2 linked regions of the Caenorhabditis elegans genome follow. The protein of the gene in region 1 purifies or fractionates together with the protein of each later gene. This does not show direct contact. Each region holds a gene or a part of one and is shown in the gene's direction. Other genes may lie near its edges. The genes, in order: slc-30A5 and toc-1.

Region 1 (5,026 bases):
AAAATTGAGATTTTCGCAGTAAAATCTGCAAATTTTTACGGTTTTTTCGCAAAAAACGGTGATTTTAAAGTTTCCGTGAGGCTCATAGACTACAAACTACAAATTTCATGGTTGAGGCTAGCCATTTTTGTAGTTTTTAGTCATGTTTTGCAAATTTATCGTTTTTAAAACGAAAAAAACGAGCGATTTTCAGTTAAAAAGCGTCGATGTTAAGTTTTGGGTGAGGCTACAAACTACAAACTACAACTTGCAATTTTACACGTTGAAAACTAGTTAAATTTAGTTGAGGCTAGCCAATTTTGTAGTGTTTGTAGTCTTTTTTTTTTGTTTTTAAATCACGAAAAACGAGCGATTTTCAGTCGAAATAACTGCATTTATGTTTTGGCTGAGGCTCACAGACTACAAACTACAACTATACATAGCCTCAACCAATGTTGAGGCTAGCAAGGAGTGTAGTTTGTAGTGTGAGCCTCAAATTTGTGACGAAAATTAGTTTTTCATTCACTTTTTGATGAAAAAATGAATAAAAGGATTTTTGAAGTAAAATTGGGAATTTTAAATGATTTTCCGCAAAAAACGGGATTTTTTAAGTTTCGTTGAGGCTCACTGACTACAAACTACAAATTTCATGGTTGAGGCTAGCCAATTTTGTAGCTTGTAGTCATTTTTGCAAAATTTTCATTTTTAAATCACGAGAAACGAGCGATTTTCAGTCGAAATAACTGCATTTATGTTTTGGGTGAGCCTCACAGACTACAAACTACAACCTTCATGGTTGAGGCTAGCCAATTTTGTAGTTTGTAGTCTGAGCCTCAGCGTGTTCAGAGAAAAATTATAAAATTTTTTGGATACTTTTTTAAATTGAATTTACACCAGTTGGGGTTTTAAATAAGACAAAAAAAACAATTTTAATTTGTGGGGAGGCTCAGACTACAAACTACAACTTTCGTGAGCCTCAGTGCCTAATAAAATTGTAGTTTGTAGTCTGTGAACCTCAACCAACCTTCGAAAAAAAATTTTTAAGTAAAAAATGCGCAAAATTTCTGATTTTTTTTAGGTTTTCAAAGCATTTTCATCAATTTTTATGATAAAAATTTACCTGATAAGTCCAATAAACATCGATCAAATAGCTGCACATTTTATCCTTATACAGCATAGTTTCCAGCAATTTCCCGGCCGTCGCTCCCGAATATTCCACGTTTTTCTTCACTTCCACATCAATTTGCGGCAATTTACACAAGAATCGCTCGTTGTTTTTCGACATAATTCGCACATAATCATCGGATAGCTCAGTGTTCCCTGTTTCCAGTGTTGGTGGATCTTTTATTGTCACCGAATCACTTGTAAATGACACATAATAGTGAATAGAATCATCGATTTTCTCAGTTTTGTAAAGAGAAAAGAGAAGAAATAATAGCGGGATAGCTTTTGTCGGCCGAAATAAGCCTGTTGAAACCATTTTTTGAAGGTTTATCACCTGAAAAATCGATTTATTAGCATATTTTTGATAATTTCAGTGAAAAAAATTAAACGGAAAACCCCATTTTAATGCTCATTTTCGGTTAAAACACGTGTAATAGTGTAATAGAAAAATAATGTTCAACGCGAATTGTCGTCAAATAGGGTGTATTTGGTGCAGACACCGTGACGGTAAAATGCACACTTTTAATTTTTGGAACCTTTTTCGGAAATTTCCAATTTATTTCAACCTTTTTTGAACATTTTCGGGATGGAAACTGTATAAATTTTTGATTTTTTTCTCCGAAAATCGATAAATTTCGATAAAAACCCTAAAAATCGCCATTATCCACGATGCTAGCCCACGATTTCGTCAAAAAAGACGACAGAAACTTCACTCCAACGCAATCTTCGAGGTTTGTTGATTAAAAAAAATATTAAAAAGTTTTGAAAATTACAGATCAGCGTCATATTTCGTTGTGCTAGTGCTCACCAAAATTCTACGATGTATTGGAGTCTTTTTCGTGGATATTCTCGCGAAAAGCTCGCATATTGTGAATCTTCTGTGGCTTTGTAAAATAATGTACGGTTTTTAAAAATTTTTTTAAAATATTTTACGCAATTATTAATTTATTTAATGATTTTCAGATGTACATGTATCCTATTCCCCCTGCAAAAGCCTCTTTCAGCCGGAAAATCACTGAAAAGAGGCATAATGCCCATGGTTTTGAAGCTTTCCCTGATGAATAGCGTTATCGAAGTATTCTGGTTTTATGGAATCACACTTTGTGGACCATTACGGAGTGTTCTTGTCTTTGAGCTCAGTTCAACTGTGCTTTTATCGGCGGTTGTCTCATTTTTCAAGGGCGGAAATATGTCAACTCCCTCCAAAACACGTGGATTTTTCCTGTTAATTGTCGGATTTGTGGCGCTTTTCCTTATGGATAGAGACGGAACTATTGAGGATCCACATCGTAAGGATTTGGCGCTTGAAATTCGAAGAAATCACTGAAAATCAGTGTGAAAAATTGGTTGAGGCTATGAAGAGTTGTAGTTTGTAGTCTGTAAGCCTCAACCAAACTTTAAAATACCTATTTTCACCAAAAATAGCTTAAAATTTCCGATTTCCCAGCGAAAATGTTCATTTTTTCATCAAAAATAATGCACAAAAAGCTTTAATAATTTCCGAAAAAAAACATTTAAAAAAATAAAAATTGGTTGAGGCTATAAAAAGTTGTAGTTTGTAGTCTGTGAGCCTCAACCAAACTTTAAAACATCAGTTTTTCACTCAAAAATAGCTTAAAATTTCCGATTTTACTGCAAAAAATATCATTTTTTTTTCATCGGAAATTGAGTAAAAGGTTTTTTTTATTAGTTTCCAAAAAAATTTTTTTCATTAAATCAGTGTGAAAAATTGGTTGAGGCTATAAACAGTTGTAGTTTGTAGTCTGTGAGCCTCACCCAAACTTTAAAATACCCATTTTTCTTCAAAAATCGCGATTTTTAGTTAAAAAACCGAGAAATGAACCAATTTTTCGTTCAAAATCGCTATAAAATTTTTACATTTTAATTTTTTTTTTCAAATTTCCAACTTTCCAGACACCACCCACGCCCACCACAGTGGCCTCAACCACCTCTTCTATCATTTAATTGGACTTTTCGGAATGGCTGATCATAAAGGAGGTCTATGTATTCTGCTAATCTCACTGCTTCTCCGTACCGGCTACGAGACGTCTTTCCGGCATTTAGCTGTAGAAGTTGGCGGTGCAAAGAGGCTTCACACACTTGTTACGGTAATAAAAATTATGGATTTTTCGTGAATTTTAACCCGAAAAAGCATAAAAAATTCCGAAAGAATCACACATTTTCTGCTGGATTTTTTTTTCTGTAATAGTTTCTAAGATATTATTCCTTTAAAAATTCATGAACCGAAAAAAACATTTGCTATAAAGTTATAAATTTACGTAAAATTTTAAGTTTTTTCGCGGAATGTGTCTGGAAAAAATTAGGGAAAATTCGACAGTTTTGGTGAAAAACTGAGAAATTCGATTTTTTTTAAAATTTATAGGAAATTCCCTTTTTTTTTTTGGTTAAAAATTGGAAAAATTCGATTTTTGACGTAATAAATTAGGGAAAATCGTTTTTTTTTGAAGTAAAAAATTGAAAGAATTCAAATTTTTAGGTAAAAATAGGGAAATTCGATTTTCGAAGCAGAAAATTTAAAAAAAAAGGAATTTTCTGGTTAAAAATTGGAAAAATTCGATTTTTTTTAGTGAAAAAACTGAGAAATTCGATTTTTTTTTTAATTTATAGGAAATTCCATTTTTGTGGTTAAAAATTCGAAAAATACGAATTTTTCGATCAAAATTTTAGAAAATTCGATTTTCGAAGTAGAAAATTAGGGAAAATTCGAATTTTTGGGGAAAAAATTCGATTTTTTTTAATTTATAGGAAATTCCCTTTTTTTTTGGTTAAAAATTGGAAAAATTCGATTTTTGACGTAATAAATTAGGGAAAATCGTTTTTTTCCGATCAAAATTTTGGAAAATTTGATTTTTGAAGTAAAAAATTGAAAGAATTCAAATTTTTAAATAAAAAATAATGAAAATTTAAATTTTCAGGCTGGAAGTGCTGTCTGCCTAACGCCTGTAGCCGTACTATCATGGGCTCTTTCCTCAAGCTCCGGAGCTTCGATAGGCTATTTCCACTACGCTGCTCTTCTCGTAATCATTGCTGTATTTGTGTTTGTACTCGATTTCTACGCTGAAAGTATATGCTTCCAACACGTTGCTGATCCAGTTATGGCTGCAGCTCGTTGGTCCTCTGTTACCATGTTCTCGTGTGCATTTGGGCTCGCATACCTTTGGTATGGAAGCCAAAATCTCGGAGATCATGCGTTGACTGGCGGTGTTTCGATCACTGTTGTTTGCTTTATTTTGGGTGCGTTTTTCTCGAAATTCTAATCAAAAAAATGCTGAAAAATCCCTGAAATTGGGATTTTTCGCACCAAAATCCGATTTTTTTGAAAAAAATCGACTTTTCTGGCTGAAAAAATTATTTTTTTACCTTAAAAATCGAATTTTCGCAATTTTTTAACATCAAAAACCGGATTTTCGCTTGAGACCCCCCCCCCCCCCCACTACAAACTACAAATCTTGATAGCCTCAACCAAAGAAAATTGGGTGAGGCTTAGAGAGTCGTGTAGTTTGTAGTCTGTGAGCCTGAACTAAGCTCCATAAACCCGTATTTTGTCGAAAATATCTTGAAAATGTTAGGGTTTCTTGTTAGATTTAAGTTTTCCGTTCGAAATTTAGGAAAAACCCATTTTTTTGCGTTAAATACTGGTTGAGGCTCACACTACAAACTACACTATTGGCTAGCCTCAACCAAAAATTGGTTGAGGCTATGAAAAACTGTAGTTTGTAGTCGTCACAGCCTCACCAAAAACTTTGAATTTTGAATTTTTTTTCACTAAAAGTGTAACTTTTGCTTTATTTTGGGTGCGTTTTTCTCGAAATTCTAATTAAAAAATGCTGAAGAAAATCCCGAAAATCTGGATTTTTCGCAT
Region 2 (4,546 bases), on another chromosome or scaffold:
AGCGTATTAACTTGAATGATATGATTTGAATGATATTATCCAGCTTGAATGAGTAAAATTTATGTCTTCAGGAGTTTTTTCTCCATGTGGATCCACAAAGAAGACAAAATTAAATACCTTGTATGCTCACATTTTAAAAAAAGTAACAACTTTAGAAAAGTATTACCAGAGCCTTACCAATTGTGTTCTTGCCCATGGAAACTGATTAGAAAAACGAATGCGGGATAAAAATTAAGCCGTCAGAATTCACAAGTTCACTGCAAGAAGATGGGTGTGATATCACTTTACTCAATAAATATTTAAAGTGGAAACAATAAATGAAACTCTGTGACTGAGATACGTGAAGCGTTCACAAACTGGAAGAGGAATAATCGGGATAGAGAAAAATGAATAAAGAATTAAATTAGAGAAATTCAAATTGTATTTTTAATGAAACAATTGGGACTTGAGGAGTTGCTTAAGCTCTCGTTCCGTTCTTTCCTTCCTCCTCTTCGTTGTCTTCGAGATCTGGCATATCTGAAAATTTTTTATAATAAATAACATTTTAATACTACATTGGTTTTCTATCATTAACGAATTACTAATAGTAAGCAAAAAGGATATTATTGCACTTAATACTTACCGTCATCTTCCTCATCATCCTCAAGACCTCCGAAGTCTGCTCCGCCAGCTCCTCCCATCTGGGACATGTACTGGTTCAAATCGAATCCGTTCGCCATTCCACCGCCAATTCCGGCTCCGGCATCCTCAGCCTCATCATCCTCGTCTTCATCCTTCCATTTTCCAAAGTCAACCTTCAACCAATGGACCTTTCCCTTGTTTTGAAGAAGTCTTGGCCACCAGGCTGGGGTCTTCTTCTGAACTGTGATCTCAACGACGCGGGTTGAAGATCCAGTGTGCTTTACGGATGCAGGATCGATTTCGTCGAAGAATTCGAGAGTTGCTTCGTACTTGTCAGTTTTGCTGCTTCCTCTGAAAATTTACGAATTACGACTCATTCTATGTACCATCATGAACATTCTGTGAATATTTAGGAAGCAAGAAATATGCTTCATATCGTATTTAAACATTTAAAATAGAAATCGAAATATTAATCCGAAACGTACTGGAAGTGAAGCTTGTTTCCCTCTCCTTTCAGTTCCTCGATTTTCGCCTCATCAACCTCGATGGTCAGATAGACAAGTGATTCACGCTGGGCCCAGAGAACTGTTGGTTGCTTAGCCATGGTTTTTGCCTGTAATTCGAAAAGAGAACTAGACGGATACGAACAATAATCAATAAAATTCAAGGAAGGTGCACGACATATAAATAAGCGCACAGTTGAAATTAGCATGATTATGCAAATTGACGAAAATAAAGCCATCAGATGAAAATGTTTTCATATCACGGCAATAACAAGCAAGAATTGTCCACTTAATTTCTTTTTTCGATTGATTTTTCTCTTACAACCTTTTTCTCCTAAATACAAGGACTATTGGCCAAAATCGATATATTTTAAGTGCGAATGGCATTGAATATAAACGTAAATGGATTAGAAATATAAAGTCGCGAATGTTCTTCAGGAAAATTGCCATGGAAACGCATAATGAAGATGATAAAACGGCAGAAATTCAAATAATTCGAGAGAGTTCCCAAATCGCGGCGAGACCCAGTGGTGAAAGTGCGCGCGCCTTTGAACGAACACGTCTCCATTTACGAGGTTTTGGCTCATTTCAGCTTAATTTTAAATCGTTCAATGAACATTTTTTGATGGAAATATGGAAGCAATGGATTTTCTGAAGAAAAATTTGAATCGTGTTGACTTCCACAGCGTATAGTTGTTAATTTATTGTTTTATGCGTCTAAAATTGTTCAGAAACAAAAATGCAGTGTTCTATTTTCAGATGGTCAGCTTCTCATGGGTATCAAGGTCGTTACACCATCCTCAAGGGAAACGAGGACTAATTTCCACATTAATATGCCTGGCGTGTGTTGGAATTTTGGCATATTGCGTATCAACGAGCCACTCGATAGGTAATTGTTGTATTTGAGTGCAAAAATAATAGTTTTTTGTTCAGTTCTAATGTCAACTCTTTGGATTACGATTTTTTCGTTTTGCTCCCAATTCGCGTCTCTGTATTCCATGTCGATAACCGAAAAACCAACGCATAAATTTAGTTACGGATTAGCCAGAGTACCGGTTTTGGCAGTCTTTAGTACTACCGTGAGTTTTTGAAACACTAAATATTAAAAATGTATTCCAATTGGAATCAGTATTTTTGAGATTAAAAATAACCTTCTTCAGGTGTTGGCTCAACTATTTTCCATCTTTTTATCGAAGGAATCATTCGAGCACTTGTTATCCCCTGATCACCATGGTTCTCATGATGCTTCAGCGGCTCACGAACATGAAGTAGAAGAAATCGGCGGCTGGCCATATTTTGTTGGTTCTGCTGCATCTTCAGTGGCGCTGCTTCTCTCAGCATACGCTCTTAAAAATCAACCGTTTCAACATGTTCTTCAATCAGCAACGGCTTCAAGTTTGCAAGAGCATGCAGCTGATTTGTCCCATGCTGTGTGCTGGGTTATTCCTGGCCTTTCGCGTCTTCTTCTGCCAAGAATCAATTCAATGGTATTGTTAGCCTTGACGACTACTGGACTGAACTTGTTATGTGAACATTTCAAGTGAGTTTAGCTATCATACACCTCATTTGAAACATAATTTTGGCCTATAAATTACCGTTTTACGGCTATGACCTTCAATAAATCAGACAATTAAAAAAATTATATAAAATTTCTCATTTCTAGGCACGACTTCGCATGGGCTGATCCAGTATGCTGTCTGCTGCTCTCTGTTGCTGTGTTCTCAACGATGTATCCACTATCAACATATACTGGAATGATTCTACTTCAAACAACTCCTCCGCACTTGATTAATCAAATTGATCGGTGTATTTCTGAAGCTTCTCACATAGACGGTGTTCTTGAGTTGAAGAGTGGACGTTTCTGGCAACTGGATTTTAACTCGCTGGTAAATCTTCAGTTTAAAACATTTTAAAAAAAGTAAAATTCTTATTAATAATTCTCAAAATTCCTCAATTATTTGTTCAAAAATCTGTTAATAAGACGTCCGGTTTTTCAAAACTAACTTTTCGAGTTTTTATTTCGCGTTTCATAATTTACTAATTTAGAAAAAAAAAGTGTCAATGTATTGTAGCAATTGTAGCAAAAAAAAAAAGTTTCCATTTTTTTGGGATGAAAAAATTCGCAAAAAATTTTCCCGTGGTGGAGAGTTGAACTCAGTTACCGATTGAGCCAGGGAGGATGAGGAAATCCTAGGTCGAAAAGTTCGAAAAGGAAAAGCAATCGAAACATGGTCGAAATTTAAAACCATTTTTAACGCCTCAAAAACTGGCACTAAATTTTAGTTGATTTTATACAATTGGATTATTTATAAGATAATTATTTTATGTTAAAAAATCAATAAAAATATTTAAAAATTTAATCTTTTTTATTATTTTCAGGTTGGCACTGTTGATGTTCGTGTACGACGAGATGCGGATGAGCAGAATGTTTTGGCTCATGTAACCGAAAAGTTTTCATCTGTAATCACAGTGCTGACTGTTCAAGTTGTCAAAGACGCTGCATGGTCTGCAGGAGAGCAAGTTCCATATTCGAATGGACATATTCATAAGAGTGAAGGAAATCATTCACATGATAATGGGCATGGACATTCTCATGATCATAATGATCATGGACACAGTCATGGACATGATGATCATGGCCACGACTCTCATGGACATAGTCATGATCATAACGAACATGATCATGGTCACAGTCATGGAGGAAATAATGATAATCATGGACACAGTCATTCTGCAGGATCAGACAATCATCATGGACATAGTCATGACGGCGTTTTTTATCATTAGTGCTATAGATTTTTGTTGAAAACATCGGGTTTCGCACTATTTTGTATTTCAATCCTATTTTGTATTTCAATCCAATCTAGTTTAAGAGTTCAACCAAAAACTGAATTTCATGTCGTATTTTCTGTACATATCCGGGCTGGCCCAGTACATTTGTTTACCTCTTCTAGTGTTCCCGCCACCAAAACTTTAATTTATTTACTTTTTTCCTGGATTTTATAGCTGTGATTGTATTTTCATTTCCCATGAATTCTCATCTAGTGATATTTAAATTAATTAATTTATTCATTGTTCCCTGTTTTTCGAAAGCTTTGCTCCTTCTTTTTACAATTTAATTTTATAGAATACATTTTCCTTTAAAAATTTTTTTTTTGTTGACATTTTTAAAATTGGCAGAAACCATTGTGATAATGTTTTCAACACATAAAATTCCACTGAAAACGTTGAAATACAGATGTTCCGTGTAATAACCCGTGGAGCACATACTGCTGCTTCTCGTCAAGCACTTATAGAGAAGATCATTCGAGTTGATCATGCTGGAGAGCTTGGAGCCGATCGGATTTACGCTGGACAGTTGGCTGTTTTGCAAGGTCCTCACTTTTGACTGGATATGAAACAAAAAATGTTCGAAAAACTCG

Evidence for each region.
Region 2: the proteins of slc-30A5 (region 1) and toc-1 purify together in Caenorhabditis elegans (affinity purification with western blotting, with the first as the bait; one study listed by BioGRID). This does not show direct contact.

Annotation. Positions count from the first base shown.
Region 1 is NC_003279.8:14,356,850-14,361,875, forward strand, and holds the start of slc-30A5 (Proton-coupled zinc antiporter SLC30A5), read left to right. Parts: upstream 1-1,712; 5' UTR 1,713-1,812; coding exon 1,813-1,874; intron 1,875-1,918; coding exon 1,919-2,041; intron 2,042-2,106; coding exon 2,107-2,432; intron 2,433-3,057; coding exon 3,058-3,251; intron 3,252-4,079; coding exon 4,080-4,398; intron 4,399-5,026. Other genes in the region: Y105E8A.2 (Endoplasmic reticulum lectin 1), read right to left, coding at 1,100-1,459.
Region 2 is NC_003281.10:5,273,532-5,278,077, forward strand, and holds toc-1 (similar to Transporter Of divalent Cations), read left to right. Parts: upstream 1-1,757; coding exon 1,758-1,811; intron 1,812-1,883; coding exon 1,884-2,013; intron 2,014-2,057; coding exon 2,058-2,203; intron 2,204-2,284; coding exon 2,285-2,664; intron 2,665-2,787; coding exon 2,788-3,010; intron 3,011-3,503; coding exon 3,504-3,911; downstream 3,912-4,546. Other genes in the region: Co-chaperone protein daf-41, read right to left, coding at 458-516, 623-972, 1,107-1,225; clk-1 (NADPH-dependent 3-demethoxyubiquinone 3-hydroxylase, mitochondrial), read left to right, coding at 4,363-4,498.